Linked DNA regions of Arabidopsis thaliana. The protein of the gene in region 4 interacts with the protein of the main gene of each other region in a pairwise test. Each region holds a gene or a part of one and is shown on either strand. Other genes may lie near its edges.

Evidence for each region.
Region 1: the proteins of AT5G54580 (region 4) and RCF3 interact in a two-hybrid assay, tested with the Arabidopsis thaliana proteins (one large-scale study listed by BioGRID).
Region 2: the proteins of AT5G54580 (region 4) and AT3G21215 interact in a two-hybrid assay, tested with the Arabidopsis thaliana proteins (one large-scale study listed by BioGRID).
Region 3: the proteins of AT5G54580 (region 4) and AT2G33550 interact in a two-hybrid assay, tested with the Arabidopsis thaliana proteins (one large-scale study listed by BioGRID).

The regions. Positions count from the first base shown.
Region 1 is NC_003076.8:21,510,587-21,519,468, forward strand, and holds RCF3 (RNA-binding KH domain-containing protein), read left to right. Parts: upstream 1-4,309; 5' UTR 4,310-4,768; coding exon 4,769-5,458; intron 5,459-5,699; coding exon 5,700-6,143; intron 6,144-6,231; coding exon 6,232-6,480; intron 6,481-6,566; coding exon 6,567-6,815; intron 6,816-7,016; coding exon 7,017-7,087; coding exon of another isoform or gene 7,088-7,091; exon of another isoform or gene 7,092-7,119; intron 7,120-7,179; coding exon 7,180-7,288; intron 7,289-7,384; coding exon 7,385-7,511; intron 7,512-7,591; coding exon 7,592-7,611; 3' UTR 7,612-7,961; downstream 7,962-8,882. Other genes in the region: AT5G53050 (alpha/beta-Hydrolases superfamily protein), read right to left, coding at 1-144, 252-339, 840-1,232, 1,327-1,380, 1,762-1,857, 2,058-2,158, 2,242-2,324, 2,453-2,636 and 1 more; AT5G53070 (Ribosomal protein L9/RNase H1), read left to right, coding at 8,251-8,400, 8,541-8,675. UniProt on the Arabidopsis thaliana protein: Acts as a negative regulator of osmotic stress-induced gene expression. Involved in the regulation of thermotolerance responses under heat stress. Functions as an upstream regulator of heat stress transcription factor (HSF) genes.
Region 2 is NC_003074.8:7,439,730-7,449,029, forward strand, and holds AT3G21215 (RNA-binding (RRM/RBD/RNP motifs) family protein), read right to left. Parts: upstream 5,584-9,300; 5' UTR 5,503-5,583; coding exon 5,332-5,502; intron 5,009-5,331; coding exon 4,829-5,008; intron 4,750-4,828; coding exon 4,674-4,749; intron 4,477-4,673; coding exon 4,347-4,476; intron 4,231-4,346; coding exon 4,116-4,230; intron 3,793-4,115; coding exon 3,701-3,792; intron 3,585-3,700; coding exon 3,515-3,584; intron 3,427-3,514; coding exon 3,344-3,426; coding exon of another isoform or gene 3,307-3,343; exon of another isoform or gene 3,247-3,306; coding exon 3,144-3,246; 3' UTR 1,722-3,143; downstream 1-1,721. Other genes in the region: AT3G21210 (zinc ion binding protein), read right to left, coding at 1-349, 451-1,027; MKK5 (MAP kinase kinase 5), read left to right, coding at 6,188-7,234; 4CL5 (4-coumarate:CoA ligase 5), read right to left, coding at 8,502-8,621, 8,713-8,815, 8,895-9,108, 9,202-9,300.
Region 3 is NC_003071.7:14,208,185-14,215,323, forward strand, and holds AT2G33550 (Homeodomain-like superfamily protein), read right to left. Parts: upstream 3,510-7,139; 5' UTR 3,304-3,509; coding exon 2,715-3,303; intron 2,627-2,714; coding exon 2,582-2,626; intron 2,307-2,581; coding exon 1,996-2,306; 3' UTR 1,798-1,995; downstream 1-1,797. Other genes in the region: CPL3 (C-terminal domain phosphatase-like 3), read right to left, coding at 1-613; BUBR1 (BUB1-related (BUB1: budding uninhibited by benzymidazol 1)), read right to left, coding at 5,626-5,689, 5,785-5,871, 5,946-6,031, 6,126-6,300, 6,418-6,478, 6,555-6,624, 6,714-6,798, 6,880-7,037 and 1 more. UniProt on the Arabidopsis thaliana protein: Transcriptional repressor that binds DNA and plays a negative role in regulating microbe-associated molecular patterns-(MAMPs, e.g. flg22, elf18, chitin, and LPS) triggered immunity (PTI) by negatively regulating immune gene expression.
Region 4 is NC_003076.8:22,168,124-22,175,006, forward strand, and holds AT5G54580 (RNA-binding (RRM/RBD/RNP motifs) family protein), read left to right. Parts: upstream 1-3,042; 5' UTR 3,043-3,208; coding exon 3,209-3,392; intron 3,393-4,034; coding exon 4,035-4,103; intron 4,104-4,205; coding exon 4,206-4,312; intron 4,313-4,422; coding exon 4,423-4,533; 3' UTR 4,534-4,896; downstream 4,897-6,883. Other genes in the region: BGLU41 (beta glucosidase 41), read right to left, coding at 23-125, 217-248, 337-560, 651-766, 840-1,095, 1,181-1,340, 1,422-1,497, 1,669-1,727 and 2 more. UniProt on the Arabidopsis thaliana protein: Involved in C-to-U editing of mitochondrial RNA. Functions as minor mitochondrial editing factor. Controls 6 percent of the mitochondrial editing sites.

The DNA.
Region 1 (8,882 bases), 660 kb from region 4:
TTGAATACTCAAATGCCAAAACCAGAAGCCCGAAGAGGAAAAGTAGAAAGCCATGGAACTTTTCCGCTATGAAATGTGCAGGAGAGGCGACATTCTTGCCTTCCGTTGAGCTTCTAATCAATGTTAGTCTCCTCTTGAAATAACCTAATAATTCGAAGAGCAAGCAAATAACGGAATGTTGATGTTAGTCTCAGAACGATCTTCAAAGAAGAAGAATGGTCTAAAAGAATGGAAATTGGGTATTTCTATACCAGGTGTTTCCATGGTGAGGTTAGTCCAATCAGTTGATATTTTCTTCATTTCTGACGCCTTGATTAACTCGAGCAGAGCTTTATTAACCTGAAATTGATTGACCAGAAGGTATGTTATTCGAGGTTCTGAGAATACCAACATGAGTAAGGAAAATGTGATCCCTCTTCCACATTGTAGCAATGTTGTTCCTTAAAGACTTCAAAGCCTGTAAGTCTTTATAGTTTTCTTCTATCATAAGTAAAAATGAGATATAAGTAACGGTATAATCGCTTACAATGTTCGATCAGTTGCTACAGCAGTCAAGTGTTTTTCCAAATAGGTTTGCCTTTAAAACGTTTCTCCATATACGATTAAATCAGTTCATCATATTCATAGTCAACTTATTCTTATTTTCAGAATAGTCTGATTCTCTTTCGGTCTTATATTGTTCCTGTTAAGTTACAGTAATCTGAGTATGACATTCATTAACATTTACTGCAGGTTGGATGAGATTAAAGAGCGACAAAGACTTTAGTTATTAAGTCTTACATTCATCAGACGCAAGAGAGACAGAGAAGTTAAGACCTAGCTAAATAAGACAGAAGTACCTCTTCTGTTCTCTCGTGGCTTACAAGATGACCTCCATGAAGATCCACCATTCTAGCGACTGGATATAGCCTCTGTGCCAGTCTTCTTGCGTAACATATCTGAGCAATCACATCATGTCTGCATATAACCCAACACATTCTCACATTAACTACTGTGTAAAGGTAAAGATGCTTTACAAGATCAACAAACTCAAGACTGAGTGCACAAGGTGACTTTGATTCTAATTTCTTTGGTGTTCCGTACCTTCCATGAATGACTGAGACAAGAAATCCAGCCGAGCGGATTAGTTCAATCTCTACTTTTGTGATTTTGTGTAACCAACAAGCGTTAATTTGGCCATCAAACCCGTACTTGGACTGCATTCCAGTTTCTGATATTCCTTTTACATATTGCTGTATTGCATCACTCAAATATAAGTCACCTTAAATCGTTCACTAGTGATATGCTTATATGTCATTTTCTTCGCATAATAACCAGTAAACCCACCTGATATAAAATTGCCCGTCTTGTATTAGTTCCTACAGATTCTTCTAGGTAATCCTGCATATATAAACAGCATGAGAACATAATCACTCACAAGTTTCATCTGGACAGTAATACGCCAGCCTTAGATTTTGTTACCAAATTACTCTACTACCATAATTCTTCAAGACCAATGAGTTGATCTCTCAAGTCTCAACCAATTCTAAAGAACATAAATCTTCAAGACCAATGACTTGATTTCTCTACCAACTTTGTTATAACCGAATAGAGAAAACAGCACCAAACTTTGCAATATAGAACGAAAGTTTCAAATGAAACACAGATTCAACAAATGCATGCCATATTTCAAACTCCAGTCGTTGCTCTATTAACTATAGTTCTAAGCCAATTTTGTTCTTAGTATTTCAGTACATCGAAGAGCAAACTGAAAGTCCCCACCTTTGAATAATGTGTGTCCAAATCAACAGCTGCCCTTTGTTCAGGGGTCTTTGCTTTCAGAAAACGTATCGCAATGGAAAGCGATTTCCGGTCAAGCTGAAGCACATAAAAACAACAGTGCATGGTACTCAGAATTTTGTATCCAAGTGAAACATCACCTTGTGACAAATCATGACAAATAAGAAAACAATAGTTTGTCTTCATGATAAGAAACCAACCGATATACACGTATGAACAAGTCATTGCTACCAAAGAAAGAAGATTCAACAACAACGCCACGTATATCATTCAAGTACCTTAGGGAAGCATTCAAAACCTCCACCTGTAACATTAAGCAACGCCAAAGAAAGAACCCGTTCAGGCGCCATTGCAGCTAACTTGCAAGCTATCATTGCTCCTGTTAATCAAAAAGCCAAGAGAGACTAAATAATTTGGCTCAGAAAAACAATCAATAGTCACTTGAGTGATCAAACATATTACCCATAGAATGACCAATTATGTGAGCTTTCTTCCAACCCAAATGATCCAACAAACTAATTGAATCATTTGCCATTATCGTTGTTCTGTACCAAAACAAAACCCAAATTGAGTGAAGAAGCTAACAAAACCAATTTCACAGGAAATTGTTAAAACCGAGATTAAGAACACAAAGCAGAGAATTTTAAGTTCTTCAGTAATGAAATTGGCTCACGTGTACTCAGATTTGTGGGTAGGCACAGAGCTTCGACCCATACCACGATTATCGAAAGCGCAAACCTCGATGCCGGAATCATCGGAAACAATTCCTCCGTCGTCGTCATCATCGTCGTTGGGTTTATCCGTTCCCGTCAATCCCATGATTTGAGGACCCCATGACTCATGGGTTCCGGCTAAACCTGAACAAAATTAGAAAAACCCAATTGAAATCAAGCTCGGAATTGCTAAGGAAACTAATCAAATGGGAAAGATGGAGATTACAACAGACCTATGATGAGAAGAGCTTTGATAGGACCATGACCGTACGTTCTGTAGAAGATTTTGATTGCGGCATTGTTAAGCGTCGTCTCTGGGCCGACATCTTCTTTCACGACCTCGCAAAACGGCATCGCTTTTTTTGTTCTCAAACTCTGATATCTGGGTGGGATCAGATTTTGAATAACCGGAGAGGAGAAGAGGAGAAGAAAGGAAAGGACTTTTCTATCGGAAGAGAGAGAGATTGGGTCTGTGGTGTGGTTCGGTTCGGTTTTTTGGGTGGAGGTTAGGACTGCCACGTAGGATTGGTCGGCTGGATTTTATTGGCGGGTAATATCTAACAAAGGTCAACGGTCAAATTTTTTACACGAGAAAACTATGTTGTATAGAAATATAGCACGTGAAAAACGCTAGAAGTAGAAGTAGTACTACGTCAATGGAATTCATATGCATCATATATAAGAGAAGCGATAATGGGTCTGAACACAAGTGGAGCATTAACCTAAAACAATAGCAACTTAGACCATTTGTTGAAGTAGTCACTACACTATTTTAATCTCCGGTTCAATTTGTTGAACTTTATAATGTTTTGCTATTTTGATCCGCGTTGCTTTATATTATATTGGTGTGGTTTCAGGAGAAGACAGATCGAGACACAAAACAAGGCAAGATCGTTACTGACATTTTATGCTGGACACTAGATAATTGTTCACCAGGACATGTGATAATAAAACCTCCATGACTTCGTGGCTGCTTTTTCATTATATATAGTTTAGGTCACCATCTTGTCGTAGCACAACCTGAAAACGCAATACCTTCTCCTGAAACGGAAAATATTTGTTGGGAAGACCTATCATTTGGAAAGTACTTATGCCCGTCAAGGCTCACAATTTAGACGAAACGATCCACCAACAACTTAAGCTTTGAGTCTTTGACCATAAGTGCGAGACGATTTTCTTGTATTGTTAATTTGTTATTGCTTGTTTTTGTGAACTGATCCTTAGTTTTTTTTTTCATCAAAAGTGATCATTTAGTTAAAGACTTAAAGTGCAATGAGAGTTTGGTTTCTTTATTTTTAAACTCTTGAAAAATTAATTTTGTCAATGAAGCAATACAAATTAAATTGCTGAAAAGGGATAGTAAATCGTTTTTTGTCCTTACGGATTGGTGATGAAAATGGTATTCAACGGATGCAATACTTAGATGCACCAAATGATTTTTACCATATGCTAAACTTTAACACTAAACCAATTATACTTTACCTGGTAAATATTAAAAGGATTTTTTGTTTTCCAAAAACAGTTTTAGTATATGTACTTAATTACATAATACCGCGGTTAATAAATAGTTAAAAATTAAATTAGAAAAAAACACATACGTGTCTACAGTTTTAGTCTCGTACATAACACGAAAAATCATCTAATTGGTTACGTATTAATCATATCATTTTTACCTATTAGAAAAAAATTATTTATACATTTTTAGTATCTACTAATACGTTACGTGAGCACAAAAATTCATCTTCATCAGTGCTAATAACTATGCGAAAATCTGATGACGATTCATTTGTCTAACAATTTATTTAGCTTAATACGAGTTTTTAAAGATGAAGCATACCCAAATTTCCCAAGAGACCAAAACGACAACGTTTGGGAGTAGCTAATATCGTAGTTAGCGCACGCCACTAACATCACCCATTGCACGGTCTCTCTCTACTCTCAAACTTCAAAAAGCTTTGGCTTTTTAGATTCACAGGAAAGAACCCTCAAAACACACAAAAAGCTGGTGATTTTTGCATTGCACCGATTCGCCTCCATCGATTTTGGACATTCTTGAATTCTCCCTCCAAGTATTCCTGTGAAATTGACCGGAAAGTTCCTTCCTTTTTCAATTTCCGGTAAAAAGGAAAGTAATTGGGTACTGTAGACTTCCTTCTAGGGCTTGTGAACTTTCTAATCCTTCAGAAAACCCTCGAATTCGAAAAATTTGCTGCGAGATTGATAAATGACTAGTTAAAGATTTGAACTTTGATTTCTGGGTTTGCGATTTTATTCAAATGGAGAGATCTAGATCCAAGAGAAACTACCACTATGACCAAGACTATGACGGAGATTCCATGCCTAGGTCTAAACCTCGCTACAACAATAATTACCACTTTGGTGGTGGCGGCGGAGGAAATAACAGATACCGTGGCGGCGGCGGTGGTGGAGGTGGAAATGGCCGGCCATCGAAGTCTCATCCTGAAACGATGGCAACAACGACTTATCGAATCCTCTGTCACGACGCTAAAGCAGGAGGTGTTATTGGTAAATCCGGGACAATTATCAAATCTATAAGGCAACACACCGGCGCGTGGATTAACGTGCACGAGCTAGTTCCTGGAGATGCAGAGCGTATCATTGAGATTTCTGATAATCGTAGGCGTGACCCTGATGGGAGAATGCCGTCTTTCTCTCCTGCTCAAGAGGCTTTGTTTAGTGTTCATGACAGGATTTTGGAGAGTGAAGCTCAGTTTGGTTATGGTGGACCTCCGCCGGAAGAGGAGGAGGATTACGGTGGAGTTAGACCTGGTGGAGGGAGAGTTGTGACTAGATTAGTGGTTTCTAGGATGCATGTTGGTTGTTTGTTGGGTAAAGGTGGGAAGATTATTGAGCAGATGAGGATTGAAACTAAGACTCATATTCGGATTCTTCCAAGAGAAAGTAACTTACCTCGTTGTGTTTCACTCTCTGAAGAGATTGTTCAGGTCTGAAAAATTGCTATTTTGAGAACATATTTGAAATGGTGAATCTTGTTGAGATTTTGATATGAAATGTAGTCAGTTTATTGAAATGCTAGATAATTTAAATGTGTGATTGTGAGGTTGAGGTTGTTGACAAGAGTTGAATCACTCTTATGTAGTTAGCTTGGTCATTATTTGTTATGTTTAAGCTTTCTTTGGTGTTTTCTACCTATGGGAAATGCATTTATAATGTTGGTTCTTTCAGATTGTAGGTGAACTAAATGCAGTGAAAAACGCTTTAGCCATTGTATCATCTCGTCTAAGGGAGAGTCAGCATCGTGATCGGAGTAATTTCCAAGGGCGTTCACATTCACCAGAACGGTCGTTTGCAGCTGCGGGGGATGATTACATGCCACAGCTAAGAAGACAATCATCCGATAGGTTTCCTCGTGGTAATTTTAGAAATAACAACTTCAGTTCTCGCCAGTCCAACTATGCAGAAGAAGCTCCAGCAGTTCCAGTTGGTGAGAATGTCTACTCCGAAGAGCTTGTGTTCCAGATTCTCTGCCCAGCTGACAAGATTGTTCGGGTTGTTGGGGAATCGCAAGGAATAATTGATTTGCTTCAGAACGAGATCGGCGTGGACGTTAGAGTATCTGACCCAGTTGCTGGATCTGATGAACAGATAATCACCATTTCTTCGGAAGAGGTACTCTAAATACCCTCAGATCTTCTTCAATATTATCTGTTACATTTACAATTGTGAACTTGAAGTTTTGTATTCTTACTTTGCTTAGGCACCTGATGATCCATTTTTCCCTGCTCAAGAAGCCTTGTTGCACATTCAAACTCAGATCATAGATCTTATTCCGGATAAAGATAATTTAATAACAACAAGATTACTTGTCCCATCTAGAGACTCTATATGTTTGGAAGGGAAAGCAGGATCAGTATCTGAGATATCACGATTAACTGGAACAAGCGTACAAATTCTAGCTAGGGAAGAAATTCCCCGATGTGCTTCTATCAATGATGTTGTTATACAGGTATGTTTGTCTATTTTTGAGGAGTCGAGCATTTTCTAAACAACTTCTGGTCTCAAAAGAGAATTCTTATGTGAATGTCGATGTAGATTACTGGCGAGATCAGAGCTGCTCGGGAAGCACTTGTTGAATTAACATTACTATTGAGGAGTCATATGTTCAAGGAGCTCTCTCAAAAGGAGACACCACCAGCTTCCACATCCACAACTGGCCCTCTCGAAGGTGTTGCAGGAGTAATGGAGGTAGCTTCATCAAATAACACAATTCAATCTCGTGAAGGTCCTACTAGTTCGAATCTGAACTTGCAGCAAGTTAGCACAATCTTGCCACAGTTTAAGGTTTTTGTTCTCATCAACAATCTTTTCAATATAAAGGCATCTGTAATCAGTTAGGGTCAGACTTATTTTTGCCATCGAAACAATGTAATATTACTATCAGGCTATGCATAATTACCTGAATACTTGGAAAGTAGTCTATGGTTCTTGTCCATTCGTGCAATGTCCCTATATTTACATATATTTTTCTCTTGGTTTTTATAGGAAGGTTTCGGATCAGTTGCAAAGGCGGGTGAAAGTGAACACCGGGAAGAGGTTCCTGTCACGACAAGCAGGTAGAGAAACTCCCAAATTTGATATATTTTCCCAAAACCGTACAAGTGCTTGTTTCACACCTTTCCTTCCTGCTTTTTGTTTTTTTCTCTAGAATGGCGGTACCACTTGTTACTAGAAGCACTCTTGAAGTTGTCTTACCAGAGGCGGTTGTTCCTAAGCTCGTTACGAAATCAAGAAACAAGCTTGCACAAATCAGTGAGGTAGAACTCTTTTTAACTGGAACTAGATTGGTGCAAATCATGACTCTAATCAAAATCTTTGACGCTTTGTCTTATCTCTTTCCCACTTGATCACAGTGGTCTGGAGCTAGTGTAACCATAGTTGAAGACAGACCAGAAGAAACACAGAATATCATTCGAATTTCGGGTACACCCGAGCAAGCAGAGAGAGCTCAGAGTTTGCTTCAAGGCTTCATTTTGAGCAGTAAGTTTCTCTCTTTCCAAACTTTTATATCCGTATTGTACTGATCTATAAGTCTGATTTCCGTTCCTTGTTTGGTGCAGTACAAGAGGATGGACCGTGAACTTGGACCAGATCATCAGTCAACACAGAGATGAAGATCAAGAAACTGAGAAATGTGGAGTTATGTATGACTTGTTGAATATTAGGATTTCAGTAAGCAGTAGTTTAGATGAACATTCCACATTTTGACCATCACTCTTTGGTTTCTATGTTGTCTATTAGTCTTCTTTGTTTACATTGTTCTGTAACTTATTTAAAAAAGTCATTAAAGTTTAATCCGAATGACTAATCATTAAAGACTCATCTTTAATTCACACCACCCCTATGTATATTGGAAGAACTTAAACGCTGCGTTTCACTTGAGTTAACATCATTGAGATTGGGGTGTTTTTGCCCTAGATAAAGTTTAGGGTGAAAACATAGATAAATCTTAAGTCGTATTTTACAAAAATAGCCACTGCTAAAACCTCACCTGCGGCTTCACCTTTCTTCGAGTTCGTGAAAAAGAGACGTCGCATCGCACCGCCGTCGCCATTTCCACCGTCGTAGCATTGCCGCTTCACTGGTGATTGATTCTTCCTTAACTTCTCTTTTTGTTTTCTCTGTTCTCTTATATCCGTCGTTTTCTAGGGTTTTCTCACTCCTTGTTGTGGAATCTCTCTTTGTAGACTGTCGCACTGAATATTGTTGAATCGAGAAAATGGCTTATGTTGGGCAAAGTAGAAACGTGATTCGGCATGTAGTCTCGAGAGGAACAGCTTATCACAAGTATGAAAATGCGATTCATCATCCTCTCCTTTTCGCTTGTCAAGGAGTTCGATACAGAAAATTAGAAGTTATTCTTACAACGGTGAGGTTTAATGATTCTGAAAGGCATGATTTTTATCGTTTGATTTTGAAATTTCCTTCACATTTCGTTGGGTTGAATTGAAATCAGATGGTGGGTTTGTTTTGATTTGTCTTGATCTTTATCTGATCTGGTTTTGTTAGGGCATTGAGAAGCTTGGCAAAGCTGGTGAGACTGTGAAGGTAGCTCCTGGATACTTCAGGAATCACCTTATGCCAAAACTTCTTGCTGTGCCTAACATTGACAAGTATGCTTATCTCATCCGAGAGCAACGCAAGGTACTAGGCTCTTAATTTTGCAAAATAGATTTAGTCTGATATTAGGTCGTACAATGCTAGTGGTTTTCTCCTCTTGTTGTTGTGGTATCTAGGTTGTGATCTTGATGATGTTTAGTTCTTGATGTTAAGGGTAAAACAGATACTTTTGACATAATGTGATAGTGATATGGTATTGAAACTATTTTGGTTTAGTGTTAGTGGCTTCTC
Region 2 (9,300 bases), on a different chromosome or scaffold from region 4:
TCGTGGTAGTAGCCTGAAGAGCGTGATAATACTGAAGATTGAAGAGGGGAACATGAAGGACGGAGACATAACGTGCAGGAATAAAACGTGGTACCGAGTAATGACTTGGAGCATATTTCACATTGTTTGTTAGGTCTATGGCCTTTAATGAAGCCCTTGCCATGTCTGTCGTAGTAGTATTTGCGTGTTATGTTAAAGTCGTTGCCCAAAACTAAGGAGGTGAGGTGAAAAGATGGAGATGAAAGATTTGGTGGCTCTCGGAATTGCATCGCGCGAAAATCTTCTTCATTGTTAGTAAAATATGCACGAGGGCAAAAGAGAAGAGGCTGCTTTGACACCGAATCCATGGCTAAGACGGAAAAAAAAAAAAAAAAAGGAGGACATGAAATTTTTTATGATGGATAGATAGAGTGCTTTGCAAGTAAATATGAAAACCACAAGGAAAGAAACCTTTGATGTGTTGATGATGAACAGAAGCAGTCAGAGCAGTCTTAGCCTTATCTATCTCTTCGTCATCATCCGTACGTGATTTGAAAGTTACAATAGGCGCTGCCCGAGTACCTTCAACACTGCCAGGACCATCAGGGTATCTAACCACAACGACTTGACAAACACAGTGGTGAACACAGAAATCACTAACAGAGCCATCACCAAATCCCATAATCAGAGCAGTGAGATTGAGCCGTTGAGTCTCAAGACAAAGCCTCTCTCTCTTATCGTAATCTTTGACTGTATGAATCGTGTGAGGGAATCCAGCTTCCTTCAATGGCTTCCCGAGATCCGCTACTTTGGAGAAAATAGAAGCGGTGGTGTAAGGAGGTTGAGTTTGGAGAGGGTAATATCCCCAATCGGCTCCAAAGAGACCGGCGGTTGGAGAGACGTGTAGAATAATGATGTCGTCTCCCTGACGGATGTAGTTATCAACAGCCCAACGAACAGTGAAGGCACTTTCTTCAGAGAGCTCCACGGCGATTCCAATCTTACGTTGACGAGGAGATGAAGGATGATCGGATTCTGGATTCATCATTTCTTCTTCTTGCTTCCACAAACTTCCGATTTTTTTCTTAGGGTTTTTAAATTATGTGTTATGCAGCATTGCTAATTATGGGATAATGAGGTTTATATTTATGGGTTTTGTGCAAATGTTTCTTTGCTTGTAAAAAATTATACTTTGGTTAATGCGTTTGTTATCCCTTGCATTTTTGTCAGGTTTCCTTAGCTTCTCGACAAGGAAAATGCTACATCGTTTTCTTTTAAAAAAAGCAAAATAGTAGTCTCTGTCTTGCTTGATGAGAAAATAAACAAACAATTTGTCTTTGACATGCACGTTGAAAGTTTTCCTCTAAAAACACGTAAACGTATTTGGGCCTAATTCAGAAAGGCCTAAAATGGGCTGAGAACGAGTATGGGGACGGCGTATATCCGTCTCAAAGAACCATTCAAAGCTGAAACAATCAATCGCGACAAGGTTCACTTCTCCCTCTCCAAAATGGTCCGATGGAAAGCCTCAGAAACCAGGCACGTTACTCACGATTCTCCTCCCTCTCCGTGCGTTTGTTCCACCAATTTGATCGACATCTCTACCTTTTGCTTGATGATCTTTACTTGAACAACTTGAAGAGGGGTTTCAATCTTTTACCTCTCAGTTCCGTTTTATATTTTTTTTCTTCTTTTTATTAACCTCCCAACTCTTTATCTTGTTTTTCTTGACAGTTCTGCGCTCAGACACACCTGACGTTTAAGAATTTTCTTTTAAGACCATGGTTTTGTGGTTTTAGATGTTTTGCTTCTCTGGAAAGTTGGTCTAAGGAATGCACAAACCCTTTTGTGCAACAAATCTTTTTCTTTGTTGTCTACAGTGATGAAAGCTTGAGACTCGCCAATCATAATAATGAAAACATGTTTCTTACTTGAGAGTTGAGACACTCCTTTATCGATTCTTCTTGGGTTGTCTCTTGGGTTAATTATATTACCTACCTCTCTTTACAGCAAATTTACCATGGTTCGAATTCAGAGAAACAAAACATGAAACTAGGCCCTAGAGATCCTATACCTCAAAATCTGATAAGTAAGCGACCAATTATACACACATTGTTCTTGAAAATGGAAGAGAAACTTTCTCATTTGAAGAATCACTAAATTCGCTTCTGGTTTTCACATCCAGAGTCAAGTAGCCCAAAGCCGTACAGAAACATCAGTTAGAAAAGAGATAAGTTGGATTGGATAAGTAGACTCCATTGTAAAAAGATAGGCTCTTAGGAACTCCTGGCTCTGTTCCTGGACGTCCGAAGATGACCTTACCTCAACTTTGTAGGTGAAACGCATCTCTATTCGAGAGCTTGGGCTTTCTCTTTACGGATTGTCCCTGCATAAGGCCAAGCCAGAGCTGGGAATGTATATATGTTTGCTCAACTATAATAAACCTACAATGTAATGGAATGCCTATCTTCAAATGTTATATCAGCTGTCAACTTCTGACAAAACGGATGTGCTTGTTCATCAGCCTAAGTAAGAACAGAGAATGATCGACATGGGAAATGCTGAAGAATGAAACCGATGTGATAGATCATGAGAGTAATATTCCATGTCTATGCAGTGAAACGAAGTTGATCAAACCCCTCTGGATGTTATCATGTTATGATCTAATGTAATGGTATATCAGCTAACATAGCAAATGGAGTTTCGTTAGGATGAATCAATCATGAGAGCAACATTCCGTGTCCATGCAGTGAAACGAAGTTGATGGAAGGCCTCCGGATGTTATCATGTTATGATCTAATGTAATGTTATGTTTTTTCCTAGCTAACGTTTCATTAGGATGAATCGATCAGAATGATGAAAATGAATCCCACAAAGTGATGTATTAAAGCCGCAATAAGATAAACAAATAGCAAACCAAACTCCTATATAATTCAAACAATCATCAAAAACCACACTGCGAATGCATGTAGCAGAGCTAATAGAAACTGAAACATGTTATATGTTGATGAGGTCACACTATATGCACCCAACACATGACAAAGCAATGCTGATGCTTAAAAATGTCGAGAATGGAAATGGATGAAATGCAGACTGCCTGGAAGATGCATCGTATTCGTGCAGTTGTTGGGAGATAAGGAAGAGAGTACGTCCCCCTTCAAGGCCTACTGATATGTCAGGGCTCCTTGGGCTCCATTAGCACTCGGAGAAGGAAAGAAAGAATAGCCGCCACCTTCCTTTCTCTTCCCATATGGATTCTTTGAATATGTATCATTGGGTTAAGAAGAATCAAACAGAAAAGAAAAAAGAACTTGGCATACTGGAATATTAAATAATCAGAAAGAGTAAAAGTATATAAGGATATTGGATCCTCATGCCAATTGAACCAGAACTTGGAATGACAGCACCTTGCAAATTATGGTGAACATTTGTGGCACTATTGACATCCTGCAAGTCCAGATAGAAGAATTTAACAATATGCTAGAAGAATATTTTCTGTCACATATACACAGATGGTGAAGGTCTCAGAGTTAACCTCGAATTCAATAAAGCAAACTGTATGCCTTTCTTGTCTCAGAATCTTCATTTGTTTGAAACCAGGTTGCCTGCAAAATGAAAGTACAGTTTACCGCAGAATTCTTGAGAACACAGGTCTACAAAAAGGCCAAGATCTCAAGGAAAGCAATGGACAGGAGTCTCACTAAAGGGAACAGATACTCACGCACTCAACAGGCTCCTCAATTCTTCTTCGTTTATATTCTCCCCAAGATTACCAATAAATAGGGTATTGCAAGGTGGATTATCCTTAATATTCTGCAATTGAAAAAAATTTGAAAACAACATGAGACATATATCAGATCACCAAACCTAGGCTAGATATTCATCAAACTAGGTACAAAATTTATCAAACAATCAGAAACTTTAGCAAATTCAGAGCAGTAGACAATGCATTTAAATTAGGCAACAACTATTGTTCCACAACACAACCACCAGAGAGTATAGCATGTAAGCTAATTAGAATGAAGTTCGAGATTGTAATTTTTAGGCAAGGAGAGGCAAGTACAATATGGATTCCGGGTATATAATTGCACAACCACCATATGATAAATAAAATGATGAAAACAGTGCAACTTCACCTGGACAGGCACATAAGAACTAGGAGCTGCTATAGGTGGGGGCGTAGGCATTGGTACAGGGGGAGCATGATAACCTGCATAGGGATCATATGGTGGAGGTGCAGGTGCCATATATCTGAACCAATTTATCTTCTTGTCAAATAAGCAACTTAACATAAAACGGTGTACCAAATACACATCGTCCAATTTCTACACAGCATATGAAATATGAAGGAGAAGCAAATGCCTAACCCATGAGGAGGTCCCCACACAGGAGGAGGTGGAGGATGGAAAGGAGATGGACTATACACAGAGTGTGTGCAGTCACCACCAGTTCGTAGGCGCTTACTTTGATCATAAGCATTTGAATCCCCAACAATACCTACAGAATAAAGATTGAGTTCAAAGGTTATATATGGTTTGTGATATTAACAAAGGAAGTAAGAAACTAGATAAAGGGGAGAGTGTAGTGAGACCCCGTATAAATGCACAAAACTGTATCAAACATGCTTCAGTAACATGACTAATGCTTAAGATAGATAAAATACAGCCATTTTATGTCATAAAGGTAGAGCTAACCTCTTTTAACAAAAAGATTCTTCTTGGCCATCTCTGTATGTATCACAGACTTTGACTCAGCATCAAACACCATATGCTGCATGCCAAGAACAACATATGTCATAATGTGAAGACAAAAAAGGATCTGAGTCAACAATGATCAGAAGCAGACAGACCTGAAGGGTATCTTTGGCTGCCATTGCAAACTGAGCTGTGGAGAAAAGAGCAAACCCCATGGGCTTTTCTCCCTTGAAGTTCACCTGAGAAGCCTCGTAACCAGGCAACCATCTCAAGAGATTCAAAAGCTCTCTCTCTTTTACATCATCGGGAAGCCCTGCGATGAAGATTGTCCGCAGCTGAACAACAGATTCAAACTTGTGTAAGAGATCACGTTTTCCCAAAATCAGAAAACTCCAACTACATGACAAGATAAGAGAACCTTTCTCACTTATGCAACAGGTCATAAGTGAGATTTTAGTAACAAACTTAAAAATCATTCTTATCAAAAAGGTCATAACTTTGGACAATTTATCGATTCCGTAGCAAAATCAAGCTAACATTGTATATCAAAAAGCAGGCAAATTAAAACCTCAACGTAAACAAAAATCAAGCAAGCCCATCTCGACAACACAGCACAAGAATCACCGATATGTATAGAGAGAAAGAGAAAGAGTTGAACCTCGTCATAAGGAGGACGATTATGGTTGTCAACTAAAACAGGAGGAGGAGGAGGATGGTGATGAATGGGCGGCGGATGTGGTGGAGCAGCTGATGATACTGCGGCTGGAGGAGGCGGCGCACCTGCCGGCGGCCACTGCTGGTGGTATGGGTGGATTCCGGCGCCGGCCATGAGATAAAAAAAAAACCTAATTACTCAGAGAGTCAGAGATTGATTGTTCGAAAAAACTTCTGCGGAAGAATTGACGGCAAAGAAGGCAAACTTATTTTTTAAGTCACATGCATCGCACGTGAACACTGTACCACTTTAATTTTATTTCTTTCTTTTTCTGTTAAAAACTTTAAAAAGAAAATTAGTTTTTAATTTTTTTAGAATTATAATTACTTTAAGTTTTTCTTTTTTCAATTGTTTTTATTGGAAAGAAACTTTAATCTGTATTTTCTTACTTTCTAAAAATATTAAATACCTAACACCAAATTTATAGTATCTAAATCCACGATCTTAAACACTCTTAATGATATTATAATCCAATTCAGACCCGACCAAACAAAAAACATGGTTAACGTGTAACAACACAGAGCCACACAAGTGCGAGTGTATTCCACGCTCTTTCCATCAACGCGTACCTTCGTCTTACCATTTTAACTTTTTTTTTTTTTCTTGTTTCTTACAATCATTTTCACAAATCTCTTCGATGAAGCTTCATTCTCCTCTTGATTTGATCTCTTTGAAAAACGACGAATCAAACAAACCCTAGAGTCAAGTCAATCATGATGATAAATACAAACCTGGAAGATAAAGAATCAACCTTGTGAAAAAAAAAAAAAACTTTTGATTCCCTCTTCTTCTAAAAGCCATGAAACCGATTCAATCTCCTTCTGGAGTAGCTTCACCTATGAAGAACCGTTTACGCAAACGTCCTGACCTAAGCTTACCACTCCCACACCGCGACGTCGCTCTCGCCGTACCTCTCCCTCTCCCACCTCCTTCTTCCTCTTCATCCGCTCCGGCGTCTTCCTCCGCGATCTCAACCAACATCTCCGCCGCTAAAAGCTTATCCGAGCTAGAACGAGTGAACCGAATCGGAAGCGGAGCCGGAGGAACGGTTTACAAAGTAATCCACACTCCGACGTCACGTCCTTTCGCTCTCAAAGTGATTTACGGAAACCACGAAGATACCGTGAGACGTCAGATCTGTAGAGAGATCGAGATCTTAAGAAGTGTTGATCATCCAAACGTTGTGAAATGTCACGATATGTTTGATCATAACGGTGAGATCCAGGTTTTGCTTGAGTTTATGGATCAAGGATCTCTTGAAGGAGCTCATATATGGCAAGAACAGGAATTAGCTGATCTCTCTCGTCAGATTCTTAGTGGATTAGCTTATCTTCATCGTCGTCATATCGTTCATCGTGATATCAAACCTTCGAATCTTCTTATAAACTCAGCTAAAAATGTGAAAATTGCTGATTTTGGTGTGAGTAGGATCTTGGCACAAACAATGGATCCTTGTAATTCATCTGTTGGTACTATTGCTTATATGAGTCCTGAGAGGATTAATACTGATTTGAATCATGGTCGTTACGATGGTTATGCTGGAGATGTTTGGAGTTTAGGTGTTAGTATCTTGGAGTTTTACTTGGGGAGGTTTCCTTTTGCTGTGAGTAGACAAGGTGATTGGGCTAGTCTTATGTGTGCTATTTGTATGTCTCAGCCACCTGAAGCTCCGGCTACGGCGTCTCAGGAGTTTCGTCACTTTGTTTCTTGTTGTTTACAGAGTGATCCTCCTAAGAGATGGTCAGCTCAACAGCTTTTGCAGCATCCTTTCATACTTAAAGCTACCGGTGGTCCTAATCTCCGTCAAATGTTGCCGCCGCCTCGTCCTCTTCCTTCTGCCTCTTAGTGTTTCTACCATTTTCGTCTTTCTTGTTTTTCAATTTTTCGTAGTTTTTCCTGACATTTTTCCATAAGTTTTGCATACCCCAAGCAAAGATAATGAGAAGAGTAGAAGAACAATGTGGTTTGTGATTGGGGTATGAGTCGTCAGGAAGAAACTCAGTTTGTGGTTAGGGTTTATTGAGTCTTTATCTTATGCTGCTAAGCTTGATTTGTCTTATGGGTAATGAAGAATGTTTTGCTAGAAATGGAAACAAAAAAATAGACAAGAAGAATTCTTATGGTTTAAGAGTGATTTTAGCTGGATTTGCTTATATTATTGTTTATATAAGGAAGTAAATGGAGGATCTTTCATTGGATAATTCTCATTAATAAAGCTTCTTCCTTTAATTCTCTTTATGGTTTTCTAGTTTCCGTCTTGTGAACATTACAAAGGCTACCCTAGTGCCTACTGCGTTATTTTTTCTTTGCCAGTTATGGTCTAATTATTGCGGTAAAAGTTGAAAGCTTGTTTAGGAACTTTTGTTTGAACGAAATCATGTGATGCTCTTGCAATTGGTCAAATTCAGAAAGCTTTCATTTGGTTCCATCTTTGAGCATGCATCATGCATGTAAACATCAGCTATTCACCTTGTTTCTGCTTCTCGTTCTCTCTCTCTCTCTCTCTCTCTCTCTCCCAATGGTTTTGTGTTCAGTATCCGTCAAATTGCCTTGATGTTTTAGTGTGATTAGGAATGTAACTCTCAACTGTCCAGGTCAGATTCTAGGTTCTTCAGCATCTACTCAAAAAAGTCTACCTTATGGCTAGGAATCTAGCTCTCAAGTGTCCTATTGGTCTTGACTTCTAACCACATTAGACCTTTCCGCTGGGCGGCTGGGCCACGTCTTTCTCTGCAGGTTTGCTGAAGTTTGTGCTGATTGATTCACCTGAATACTTGAAGCATTCAGCTTGCAGAGGAGGATAACTTTGAGTGTGTGTCCCAGTACATAAGTCTACCCAGCGTAATCACTTCTCATTGTCGCTTTTGTGGGTATGTTTCTGTTCCTTAATTCTCTAAATTTATAATTCTTCTTAAGAAAATAGTGAAATGATGATTATAGGAAATGAATTTATGTTTCTGAGGGTAGCTTAGCTTTAGGTTTCCTAGATTTGTTGACTTTACATGATTGATCTCGTGAAAACCAAATCAAATACCAAATACTTGCTTCTTACTCCTTACTTCTTAGAGACTATAATGTTCGAATTTACACATACATTTGAAACTCTCTTGTGTCTATTTAGAGCACATGGTTTCCAATTTAGCTCGCAGATCCTTCCTCAGAATCTTGCCCGAAACTGCTTTTGGTATAACTTCTATGAAAAACACCATCTTAATCCGCTTGTAGTGAACCACCTATATAAACCATCACACCATTGATTTAAGACATAGACAGTTTTCCATCTTGTGTGTGTTTCGCATTGAAAAACCGAAAGCGAATTCGTACCTGTTTGTTTACGTAACTCTTGACATCATCTTCAGTTAACTGAGACCCTTGAGATCTTGCTACAAATGCTACTGGAACCTCATCAGCTACTTCATCCTTCATTCTGAAAATTCAAATATCATTAGAGACAACAACCATTTTAGTGTCTCAGTTTGGAAGTTTCAGATTTGTTTTGAACTCACGCAACAACTGCGGCATCATCGATAGAAGGATGAGAAATAAGCAATGCTTCAAGCTCAGCTGGAGCCACTTGGTAGCCTTTGAATTTGATCAGTTCCTTCAACCGATCAACAATGAAGATCTCATCATCATCATCCACAAACCCAATATCTCCTGTATGTAACCACCCGTCTTTGTCTATGGTTCGTGCAGTAGCTTCCGGATCATTCAAATAACCTAACAACATTGCACCATGTTTTCCCTATCAATGTTTATTCTCCCAAAGGAAAAAAAAGAAGGGACATAGCTTGATCGTTTGACCCTTTTTACCTTTCATGAGCTGATGACCTCGGACGCAGATCTCGCCAGATTTGTTGCGCGGCAAGGAGATTCCGGTTTCGGTATCGACCACTTTCATCTCGGCGTTTC
Region 3 (7,139 bases), on a different chromosome or scaffold from region 4:
CTACCAACGAAGTACTCTCCAAAACACCACGAATTAGTTTCACTTTCTTCTCCAAATCTCTCTCCTTTAGAATTCGATCATCTTCAACTTTATCAGCACTTATCAACACAACAGATTCAGTATCCTTCTCAACCAAATTGTCATCAGAAGCATTGTCGACCAAATCAATTTCACCTTCCTCCAACTCACCTTCTTCTTTCTCATCATCACTATCTTCAATCACAATCTTATCACTCTCTCTTGGTTCATAATCCATTACCAAACCTTCATTAAAAGGTTTGTTCTGCACAGCTCGAGCCCAAGCTAAATTAGATAAACCCGAATTCGCATATGGACGGTAAGCAGGATACTGAGAAATCAACTCCTCCATTGTCCAAACCCTAGAGTTGCCATTAGAACCACCACCACCTCCTCCTCTTCCTCCAGCCACAACCCCAACATCGACGTCTCCGCCAACATCGGCCGTAGTAGTAGTACTCTTGTGCTTAACTTCAATCTCAGTGTTGACAGAATCAGGAATCTCACCTTCCTCAACATCCACCATTACCATCAAGTTTTCATCGTTGCCCATTCGAATTAGGGTTCTAGAACAACCAGATCGAGCTACAAGCATGTAAAAATCTCAAAACTTTGCTCAAAAACGAATCCAAACCCGATTCAGAAACAAAAACCTTGAATTCGAAAATCGCCCACTTTAGTCCCCGGTCCAGAGAAGAGATCTCCAAAACAGAAAAAATTAGGGTTCTTCTCTAATTTAAACGATTCAAAAAACAGAGATTCAAGTTAAGGAAATGTTTTGTCAATTTAACTCTTTTTTTTTCAAAGATTCACAATTTCGAAAATTCCCAATTCGAGATCTACCACCACCTTTGAGAGAACAAGAGAGTTTTCAAATTTTCTTCTCCAGATCCAAATTTTGAGATGCTTATTATTTTCTCCGAAGGCCGAAACTTGAAGAGAATGTGAAATATAGACGAAGGGAGAGAGAGAGAAGAAGAAGGAGAATCTAGTTGAGAGAAGGAGTTTAATCTAGACCGTACACGTCAGCGATCCGAACGAGGTAAATTATGTCAGCGCGACGTGTGATTGGCGCCAGATGAGGGGTATTTTAAATGACGAAAGTAGACATCTCTGTGAATTTTCTTTACTAGTTTTGTGTCTGATGATCCAAAGTTTTTGACTCGAAAAGTTTGTCAGTTAACTTACCTCTATGGAAGTCGAAGTTCGTACATAAATTTCAGTGGTCAAATATGTCGTGCGGCTTTTATGAAACTGTTGCTTGTCTTTTTATTATAACTGACGAAAAAAACAAATTTGGACTGGAATTATGTGCATAACAACTATTTTGTGAAAGATAATCCAAAGTAATATGGGAACTTATTTGATATTTTGCATCACTGAGTTTTGGTATTAGTACAACTTTTGGTTTCAAATTCAAGCTCACGATAATATGTTAAATATAGTTCATGTTGCACTACAATCCAGACAAAAAAATTGGTTCGAGTTAGATACGGTTTCAATTTAATTTCTATAGATTATAAAAGAAGAAGTTAAAATACAGAAATTGTTTTCAAAGTAGCTATCAGATTACCAAACAACATAAAGTGGCAGATCTTCAATCTGCATATACCAAAGTCATTTTCTAACCAATTGAGTAACTATTTGTATATGTTCAAGGGTCATATGACTACGTATACCATTTAATATTATGTTATTAATCCTGTTGTTAGGGGAAGCAAGAAAGATGAAAACTCAATTTCATGCTATGCAACAAATCATCAACACATCAAGATGTTCAAATCAGTCAAAAGGTAACACTAAGGCAAATGATATCCTAAACCCGTATAAATCTCAATGTTTATATAAGATGTGTATAATAACCTCTTGTGGTGGCATCAATATTCAATCAACAATGGTGATAAATGATTGAAAAAAAAGGAAGAAGAAGAATGAGAAGTAATGGCCAAAGTGATATACAACTAACTTTTACTAAATCTACATCTTATCCGCGATTTTTGCCACAGCATCAGCGAGCTTATTGAGAACAGCGACTAAGCTATCACCGTGATCTTTTCTTTGCTCTCTGTCTAGTTTTAAGTTTAAATTCTGAACCTCAAGCTGTGCCGCCAACAACTGCCCGTTTCTTTCTAGTATCTCTATCAACTGATTCTGCATCTTCTTTGTTTCTCCTTCTTCTTCTTCCTCTTCCTTTTCACCAAAAGATGTCCGTTTACGCTTCCTCTCTTCTTGTGATGTCGATCCACCTTCCACGTTTGCTGCTTCTGGCTGTTTCTCTTTCACTCTACCTTCAAGTTCAAACTCAACATTTTAGTATAAAAACAAGAACATAGAGACCCTTCAACATAAACGAAAAGATCACACACCATAGGGAAGATTGTTAAACTACTTTTATAACACAATTTGAGATGCATTTTAGAATACGAAAACATCATTTATCTACATGACAACATAACTACATAGTCAAGACTCAAGAGAAACACACTCTAGAGCTCTAAAACTAGTTTGAGATTAGCATATAGAGCAATAGATCAAGCAAATACACACAGAGAGATAAACAAACCTTGATCTGCTACACAAGCTTCTTGCTTCTCTTTGTCTATAACATCTTCATCAAAAAAATTGAACTTCATAAGAAATGGAATCATTCTGATGAACATACAAAATAAAAACTTAAACTTTGATCTGAATTTTACCAGTAACTGATTTAGCCACCGGAGTAGAATTCAACTTCTCAGGACTTTCTCTCCGATCTAAATCAGACAACAATCCCTCGTCTGACGCCGGAGCCAATCCAAGCGAAAGAACCGGAACCGCCGGAGGAATCACACCACCGTCAACAATATCATAAACCTCCTTATCGAAAAAACCAGGAAGCTTCTTCTCTCTACGAACATCATTCCTCATAACCCAATAGGACTCAGTCTCTTCCTTAATCTGAGACTCCCATTCTTTAATCTTCTTATAATCTCCGGCGAGATTGCTCCATCTTTTCCGGCACTGAACCGGCCCACGATTTACACCGTGACGTTTACAGTAAGACGAAACAGAAGCCCATTTAGGCTCCATTTGACCCGACCCGAGAGCCATACCCGCCGCTCTCCCTCGCCGGACTCTGTTCTCCGCCACTCTCTTCCCTTGAATCAGAACCAGAATCTCTTGTCTCGTCCAACGAGGAAGTCTCGCCGTCTTAACGCCGTCATCTCCACCGTCATTTGACGGCGCGCTACTGTTCTCTCCACCGTCAACGGCGCTCACTCCTAATCCTAACTGTTCCAGAGCCATTCAAACGGAATATTCCTTCCCGTTTTGATAATTCCGTTCAAACGGGTTCCAGACTTAACGGCGTTATGGTGAGGACATCCCGTTAGCGCCGGAGAGAGAGAGGAGCTACAAATGAAAGAGCAAAGAAAAGATTTATTTTGTGAGATAATGACTTTTTAATGTATCTTAATCTGATTTTTAATTTGGTGACTGTAGATAAAATTGACCCTTGTGTTATCATTTTATTTTAATTTCGTCCCTTAAGCCTTTCATAAGGTTCATGTAGATATGTTGAATTTAAGTAGACCGTAATCTTTAATTCCTTTAGACCGTAATTAGGGATTACATGCTTGATATGGCTATTTCCTGATTTTTTTGACACATCACTTTCATCACCTCATTTTCTACGGCCAAGATCACTCTAAAAATAAAATCAAAAATTATCTTTTTCTTATATTAATAATAAACTGTATTTATTGTTTATGTAATAAAGATAATGCACATATAATTTTCATATTTGGTAATATTATGATATGGTTGTGTGTAAATATGGAGGGGGCGTAGATTATGGCAATAAACGCGCCCTTTGAGTATTTCTATTGGTTAATTTCTCTCCAACTACCATAAGTTGCTTTTACTCCATAATCCTTATATATGCGTTTTGGTCAATTTCCTCCGCCATTTATTTTTTTGGATTTTTCTACGTTTTTGTCAGCTTAAGATAATGACAATATTAGTGAGTCTCTGCTTTAATAACCTAGTGATCTTTAAGAGCCCTCAGGGTTTTTGGGAGTTCCATTACAAAAAATGCTATAAACATTGTAGAAGTTTTCAACAGTCACATATCATAATTAGTAACAGTACCCTAAATCATTTAAATGATTAAATGGGTTTTGGGACCCTTTTTGTAAACTATTTTTTGTTGCAATAAACTCTGAAACTATCTTTTGTTGGCATAATTCTGAGCCTACTTAAATGTATAAACAAATCGTAGCTAACCGTTCCTTAAAACAATGTAGACAATAAGACAACATCATTATGAAAAAGCAAATGAATGACGAGAGAAGCATGAGGAAAGCTTGCTGACGAGTAGAGATAGATATATCAATATATTCACTTTTGAGGGTTTAAAAATAAGAAAAAAAATCATGATAAAAAAAAGTTTGTTGTTTAAGGTTTGTAAGAAGAAAAGAAAAACAGAGATATCACTACTACATGTTAAGGTTTATGATTTTTGACAAGTAGAAAGAGAAACTCTAGAGCTCTAGAACTATAGAGCAAAGTTTTCTATGAAATAGATCAAATCCAAAATGGAGATATGATTTATGAAACACACATGACTAAGGGTAAACATGTATAAATCAAATCAAGATTAAACCATAATGTTCTTTGAGATGGAGAAAGAGAACCAATGCCAATGTTTTGTTCAAGCTTGCTAGTAAGAGGACATGAAACTAAAGCCAATAAAATAAAAACCAAGAGACATCGATACCGTAAATACCATTTCTGTTTGAATATAGAATTTCATCTTACGCATAGAATTTGTTTTTTGTTTTATTAGAAATCTTGACTCAGTCGTATAAATGTTTAGCTACGTACTTAATGCAATACTTTGCATTAAAGGGAACCCTTAAAACCCCTAAAGGGTAGATTGTGAAATGAAATGATGCCCCTACCACTAACACCAAATAAAATTCCCAAGTTTTTTTTTTCATTTGCCCTTGTTTACCACTCAAAGTCTATCTCCAAAATCGCATCATTCGTTTTTAATCATTAATTTAAATGGCTATTAATGCTTGATTATGTTTTATGCCCCCTCCCATCCGTTTAAAGCCACTTTATTTTCTATGGAAGAAATGCCCAATGGATTGATTATCTTTTCTAGTTTGTACCCATCCATACGTATCCATTGATTTACAATGAAACTCTAGAATTTTTCTAAAACAAAGGTACGCTAGTTGCCTAGACGACTAGACCAAAAAATTATTGGGATCACAAAGTCACTTGCCATATAAACCAATGACTTGGCCACATTTAGGGCATTATTAAAATGATTCCTTAAGTTTAATCATAAGTGGTAATCTAGGTTAATTAGTGGAAATTGATATAAAGTTTTTTTTTGTAGAATGATTACTTTAGGAGAAACAAATCATATAAGGATTGAAACAAGACAAGTCACATTAATTTCAAAACATGAAAGGCACATCATGGTACATAGTAGGATAGTATATCCCAGTACATCACAAAAACAAATCCAAATAGGCAAAAACACACAAGGAGCTTTATAGACAAAAGCTCAAATCTCAAACCATAAGATCGTGTAGAGAAGAAAGTCCAATATCATCATCGTAGGAAGCTGTTGGGTGGGAAATGTCTTAAAGGGTTCTGTCGTAGCAGCTCTGTTTCTCTGCATTTTTTTAAGTAACCATTGTTAGATCTCTACCAAGTCATGATATAATATTTGTTTGGTGAATGAATCTTTAGGGGAATTTTTTTGCTTACTTTTTTATCTCACGGCCGCCATTAAGGGGCAGAACGTTTGATGATGATGAGATAGTTTCATCATTCTTCTTCTTTTCTTCTTCCTCTCTGCATTTCAGAATCATGTTAATGGTGGAAACATGTTTTGTTCAGAAAACTTCTGAAAAATTAGTCAAACTTACTCTGTACATTCTTCTTCATCGACAAAAACCTCAAAGGTGGAAGCAGATGCTGCTGCAACAGTTCTCACAATGGGTTTCTGAGGAACCTGTGACAATAAATATAAATGCAGTTAGTGATCAATTTATAGAGATAGTATGAGCCAAGTGAGATAGTTTTGTTTAGGAGGGTAGAGGGAAAACCTTGAATGATGCCCATTTTCTAGGTAAAGAATTGTTTTCTTTGTTCCTCTCTGCTCTGCCTCCAAGCATGAGCCAACTACCAAACTCTGGTCTTGACTTGTCTGACTCTGGTTGATTCCCTGATGTGGTGTCTGAAACTGCATCTGCGTAGATAGCAAAAGGTGTCTTGGATGATCTGCAAAAGACAAAGTTGCTTACCATAGTGAGTTGCAGAATAATTTAAAGGTATGAGTTGATAGAAAATGCAGATAATGAAAACAACGAGAAATATAGAACCAATCAAACTACTTACTGATTTGGCTTTAGCTTTTTGGCTTGTGGGTTAGAACTTCCTAACGCCTGCCTTCTTGCATCTACAGAAAACATTTTCATGTAAGATAGCTTACCAAAACATTTCAGTGGTTTCCAAGTTAAGTTAATGTGACTCACTATTATCTCCCCTGGACAATAAAGTGCCAAAGCTTCTTGACGGTAAGTCATTATTCTCCTTTGGTTCCTGCTGGTAGGTAGAACATTAATTATGATTAGGAAAAACCTTAGTCCATAATGAATAGATATAAAGTGTTACAAAGAGACAAAACTTTTTACTTCATCAGCTGTGTTGGACCTTCTCATCGTTCTCACCATAAACTTCTTGTACGCGTCATTCAACTTTTCCACTGGCTTTGCATCCCTGCACAAGTTCCCACTTTCAAATCAGACCAATAACTTGGAGCCGAAACATGAAAGTAAGATTACATATCTGTTCATTTACCTAGAGATTCCAAGATTGAAGATCTCATTAGCAGTTTTGACCTTATTCTTAAACTCAATGTGCAAAGCATAAGCTATATAGTAGACAGCATGTGTCTTTCCAATCTCATTGACCTCCAAAAACTTGTAAATCACTTCCGCATCAGCGCAATGCTCCGCCTTCAAAACACACACAAAAACTATGAGTACTCTCTCCATAACAAAGAAAGAATCATCTAGAGGGTTTAATTAAAGATAGAATCATTACATATTCCAACCAGA
Region 4 (6,883 bases):
TTTGGTATTTGAGAATGCTTACCGTTTTCTGTGATGAATACAGGTGGGTTTCCATATATGTCTTTAACATACACTGCCAGTTTCCTGATTCCCCATGGGACAATGTGTAGCCAGCTTGACCCTGCCTGTTTCAAGTAAGTTGTTTCTCATCAAGTAAATTTCTTTGGAGTGCCAGTTAAGGATTAGTCTTCTGTTTCTATCAGAGAAATTACATACTCTTTCTCCTATAGCTACTCCTCCACGAAAAGCTATAACAATTAGGACCATACATTAGCTTAATTCTTTTAGTTTTGTAGCGGTAATGAGAATGATATGAGATAAGGTGTTGTTTCTTACAGCTTGTAATCACGGCTGAATCAGAAGAAGCATCTTGTAGAATCAGTTTCCTTATCCTAGTTCTGTCATTCCTCGCGTATAATGTGGTGTAGTGGTTGATTCCCACGTAATCAAATGCCCCTTTTATGGTTTTATACATCTCTGGTGTTATCTTAGGTAGTCTCTCTTCCACTAGACTCTTCATTGAAGCTGGATAGTCTCCATTGATTAGAGGATCCATAAACCTATTTTTTAAATCTCATTCTGTTACTTTGGTCTTTTCTCTCTGTAGACTTTTCTATGCAAATTTTCAGATAAAGGGATCTTATATTTACCATCCAAGCCCAAAATCCATTGCTCTACGAGCTGCATCTTTGTCCTCATCACAATCAGACATTGGCTCATACCATTTTGCATCTAATGATATCCCGATTTGACCACGTTGTTTCTCCTTGCATATAGAAAATTTCCCACATTTTATTCTGCACTTAGAATCATAAGATTGTTCTGTTTTGTTTTCTTACCTTAAAGTTTCTTTGGTAGGTATGGTAAGCAGCAGCATGAGACAACAGAATGTTATGAGCTACAATATACGGTTCGACCGATGACTTCCCCTTCTTACAGAACCAATGTCCCAGAAGTGAGCACCTTCCTGGAGCTTGTATCCCTGTGTCATAGCCTTGGATCGATACCCCATGAGGCTCATTGAAAGTGATCCAGTACTTCACTCTATCTCCAAATGCTTTGAAACAGGTGAATGCATAATGCTCAAAATCATCCCTGCACCATTTATTTAGCTTTTTAATTTCGTAATAATCTCACCATATCAGGATTTCACATTTTTATCAAAATATCATATACTCACACCACTTCTCTGCTTAGCCATCCTTCATATCTGTCTTCTAAGGCTTGTGGGAGATCCCAGTGATACAATGTCACATAAGGTTTGATTCCTTTGGCTAAAAGAGCATCTATTAGGCTGTTATAGTACTTAACTCCATCTGGGTTTACTTCCCCTGTTCCATCTGTTAAAACCAGAGTTTAAATAGACCCGTCGAAACGCACAACATTACTCATCATATCACAGCTGAATGAAATAGACTTACTAGGGAATATTCTTGACCAAGATATAGAGAATCTGTAAGCATCCATTCTCAGATCTTTCATCAGGTCTATGTCATTCTGTGATAGCAACAAAACAAAAGAAAGGCTCTTGCTTCTTAGATTCTCTCATTTGTGTCCTGTTGCGTCTTATCTTAGATTTGTTTGGATGAGGTTGCTCTGTCAAGAAGCAACCCTACTTTTATCTTCAAGCTTAAGTCAACAAATTTGTAATTGTTAGGTAAAACTTACGTGAAACCTATGATATTGATCAACCGTAGTATCCGCATTGCTGAAATCCAGTATCTTTCCTGTTGATCAAGAACGATACCATTGAGTTAACTAAAACCTTCGTGATGTTTTCTGGGTTTGTTTCTTTGATACCTGGTTTCTCCTTCGTGAAAGTGTCCCATATGCTTTCTCCTTTGTTTCCTTCTTTCACAGCTCCTTCGAACTGATTTCTTGCAAGAAAATGTTGCGATTGTCAAAATCTTCGTTCTTTCTTTGTTGGATCAGTTTGGAGAAGATGAAGAAGAAGAAGAATGTCACCTGGTAAGCTGAAGAAGCTGTTCCGAATACAAATCCATCTGGAAAATTTGCTCTGCTGATAGATTCTGAAGAAACGTGATCAAGAGGTACGAAGAAGACGACGAAGAACGGAAACAGAACTAAGACGAGTCTCATTAAAGATTCCATTTTTTGGGTCGCATGAATAGAGAAAGTGAGAGAAAGAGAGAGATAAGGGGATGGAATTTTATGGTGAATGAAAGATTTGGAGGCAAGAAAATGGAGTTTTGGTGTGTGTGTGTTTTTAATTTGTAAAGTTGAAGAAGAAAGAGGAAGAGTGCAAAACAAAAGCTCACGTCTTTTGAAGGCTTTTCTTTGGTTTTGACATTTGTTCTCTCTACTTTTACTGCACACGTTTCTTATACTTGTGCCAAAAACTTTTTAAAGTTGTTTACTCTCTTAAGATAAAAAAAAAGTTTGTTACTGAGTGACACTGATTCACCTAACTACCTATGTCTTTTTTTTAAAGATATTCTTCTTGATAGTCTTGTTATTTGTAACCCCAAATTACATGATAATCAAATTAAATTCATAGATTGAATAATATATTATGTACTTTATTTTGAGATGAGTTAATAAATTAATATATAAATATAATGTGAACTTTTATGTTAGCATCCATATCCATTTATATATGTTATTTTTTGTGTGTTTACACTTATCACAAAAAAAAAGGGGTGTATTGAACTTAGGTAAGATTTTGTGGATTTTAGATTTTGAGAGATTTTAAAAGACGTCTGGTCATTTGGTGGATTTTTAGAAGAATCAAAACAAATTTTAAGTGGCCATTAAAAAAATAAAATGGTCATTTAGTGAAATTTTATGTCAAATTTCATAAAATATTGAAGTATTTTGTGTGATAGTCCAAAAAACAATTTGGTAACCATTTAAAGACTCATAAACGTTTCTACGTGCCAATGAAAAAAAATCGAAAATTGGAGCTGCACATTGGCGAATTCCATTAATTACGAATATCAGAATTGTAAAGTTTCTATCACTAGTCCATCCATTCCGAAATTTTGAAGTAATACAAGGGTATATCCGTCATTTTATGTCAGTATTTTTTTTTTTTAGGTCATCTTCTCACTCTAGTAAATTACTCGTTTTCGTATCAATCGATTTTGTTTGTTCTCTGCTTTTTTGGTTTAGGGTTTTAGCTTTTCAAAGTTAAAACCTTTTTTTCCCGAAGAAGAATCAATACGACTCAAATCAATCAATTGAATCTATGGCGATGGCTATGAGACTTCCAGCGATATCTAGAGCTGTGACGGAAGTAGCTTCAGCTCCGGTTGGTTTGAGACGACTGTTCTGTTCAAATGCTTCAAGGTTCTCTTTTTTGTCTCCACAAGCTGAATCCCAAACACCGGCTCGTCCTCAGGCTGAACCTAGCACCAATCTCTTCGTCTCCGGTAACAAACCCTTTTCATCTCTCAATTCATTTCGAGGGTTTATCGTTGTTAGAGTCTATGTCTGTTTCTATTTGATGCTTTTTAAAGATCCTTCCTTTTTGAATTCAGATTTAGATTATCAGGTTCGTCTAACATCAACTAAGATTGTACTCTATGTGTTTAAGAATTTGATAAGTTCAATTATTCATTTTTGGTTCTGATTTCCAGAAAAATGTCTACTTTCGATTGCTTAACTCTAGGAATGAACTGTAAGAGTTAAAGAGAGTTTCTTTGCACTCAATTACTTGAGAATTCGGTTTTTTCGGTTAAAATTTGGATGCTATGTGTACCGGATCAGTGTCTTGTTTCAAGGGTCTATGTGGGCTGTTTCTAACATCTTCAAGGCTTCTGTTTTTGTAAAGTGCTTCCTAGTATCAATTAGTTTTTGAAATACTGCTCAACATTGGGCTTTGATGCAAGCAATTTTGATTAGGCTATTACTTATTGTTCCTTCATAGCCTCTGTTTCTCACTTTTATCACATGGCCATTGAACATCTCATACATACATCTAAGGAATTTTATGTGTTCGATGCTGTGTCTCAGTTTCGTGAAAGTGTCTTCTTCTCATGTTATCTTTATCTTTGTGTCACTGAATATTTCAGGGCTTAGTAAGCGCACCACTTCTGAAGGACTAAGGACTGCTTTTGCTCAGTTTGGAGAAGTTGCTGATGGTGCGTATCTTATAACGACACTATAAAGTTTATGCGCAGTAAACTAGTCATCGTGAAGAAAACTAACTGTTATGATTCCTTTCTCTTCTATTGGTTTTGTAGCTAAGGTTGTCACAGACAGAGTATCAGGATATTCCAAAGGGTTTGGATTTGTTAGATATGCCACTTTAGAAGATTCTGCCAAAGGCATAGCTGGAATGGACGGGAAGGTACTATTCATTCTAATATCCATTTCTCGATTACCATATCATAATCTATTAAGAGAGATTTACACTGACAATTACCAAACGGCTAATCTCCTCTCTGTGCTTCTCTGCAGTTTCTTGACGGTTGGGTCATATTCGCAGAGTATGCAAGACCGAGAGAGCAATCACAGTCATATCAACCTCAGAACAACATGTCTCGTCCTCCATACTATGGTAACCGCTAGAGAAACAGTTTTCTTCGGTTCTTATGAATCTTTTATATTCATATTTATGCTTCATTCTATCCTCTTCTATGATCGAACTGTGTTGTGCTTCGTCTCGTGTTATTACCTTTAGAAGATTAAAAACTTCAAATTATATTTTGAAGGAATAATCAGAAACTGTCATTTACAAAACCAAAGTATTAAGTGTAATAGTTTTTTAAGAGGAAGAGGATTTTGCTTACATGGTTAACTCGGAAATACTTAAAACGTCATCGTTTTGTTGTTTGTGATTTAATTGATTGGACCGGTATGTAATGAGATTGATCGGGTTCTGAGAAATTCAGATCCGGTTTTAGTGTTGTTGATTTTTGGTCGACTTTAAAATCTTTCAGTATATATGCTTCGAGTTTTGTTTTGCTACGATTTCATTTTGTGAACCAAAATTTTTTAGGCACCACCAATCTAGATGATCATTTTCAAAAACCCAATGGGTCCGTAGCCATTAGCCAATCAATAACTCACAATTTTCGTTTAGATGCAACTACTTAACATTAAAAGTGATGATTATAACAAATGGGAATAAGTCATTGGGCCACAGCATTGAGTTCTCACAATTTCACGTGGAGCTGTCTAGAATCTCTACGAACATTTTTGTATACTACAACATGTGGACCGAACAAAAACAAAAAGAAATATCATCCCAAATACTAATGGCTTACATAAATTTATGCACTAAATGTTATAAAGACAAAAAAGGAAACAAAACATACAAAGAGATACCGTTCATACAATAACATTCCTTCGCTGTCCAATTACGTTTGGTGAGACAATTCCCTCTTTCTCATGCAACCAGATTTGTATTTCACAACTCATCATATTACTCCAAAATCATAACGGTACCCATTTTTGGAGTGTTCTTAGCTTATAATGGTAATAGTGATAGGTTTTGTTGTTTTGATTGTGATCTATAATCCTTAGACGCAATGAAAAGTTAGTTGTAATTACAAATGTCGACCGCAACGTGTACAAATGTTTCTTGTTTCCAAGTTTGTGGAGTGGGCACAAGTCAAACTTAACTGCATAAACTAATCAAATGGTAATGTTTCTAATCGGATAACGTTTCTGATTAAGTTCTTTTCGATGGACGATTCTTGTTATTTCTCATTCGATTCGATCGTGTGGGTTAGGTTTATAGATTCAAATCAATCAATCTTCCATCAATATATTTTATGATGACCCATGACACCTAGCAAGTAGCAACATAACAAACTGATTAATATCATTACTAATATATAAACTATAAACTATAAAGTCGTGGTATTAATGAGAAAATGAGGGCATGAATATTTTTATTGTTTTAAATTAGTAAAAACAAAATTTAACAAGATGACTCAGTGGCGGACCTACGTTACAACTAGGTGGAGCACGTGCCCCATATTAAATCTACTAAATATTATATAAGTTGTTATTTTTCATTATATTACAGTTAGCTCAAATGGTTTTTCGGCAAGCAATGCCTTATACTAACCCAAGTTCGAATCTCCAAACCGTCACTTTTGTAAGAATATTTTATAATCTACATACAATTTAGGTAATTAAATTATAATTAATACTATTTATATAAATGATGCCCCACATAAAATTACCTTCTAGATCCGCTCCTGAGATGACTCATCGTCGTTTTTGTTGCGCCGCATGAGTGATTACTTTCAAATGTGAAAGCATTTTAGATGAGTCGTTCTCTACGGTTGAATTATGGTTTTAAAATGAAGCTGTTTAATTACACGTTTCATGAATTAAGTTTGGACCGTTTCATTTTTTATATCGTTAGGAGATATGAGCCTGATCTGATCTATATTTAATATAGTTCTTATCTACATGAGTTTCTATTATAGTTCTTCCTACATTCATTTATTATAAGGTTTTCTCATTGCCACGTATAATATAAGCACATGCAGATATAAGTAACATCATATCATTTTACGTACTTAGAAAATAAAAACAATATGGAAGTTAGTCCCAAAAGGAAAAAATGATAGTGATATTGATTTTAGATAGTAATATTATAACTATGTCTATATAGTTCACTCAATATCCGATTCATTAAGATTGATAAGCCACCATGTAACAAAAGGATAAATTGGGTTATTTGTCTATACGCTAAACCGATCCAAACCAAATTAGAGAGAATAGACAGATAACCCAATTTTTCTTTTCCAAATCCAAATCTGAAGAAAAATAAAGATTTAATTTTTTTATTATACATGTATTTGACCATCTAATGATGTAAAGCAGATGAATCAAAGTGAAAAACATGAACGACCATCATAATTTCATAGGTGACAAAACTTATTCATTTATGAGCCACACA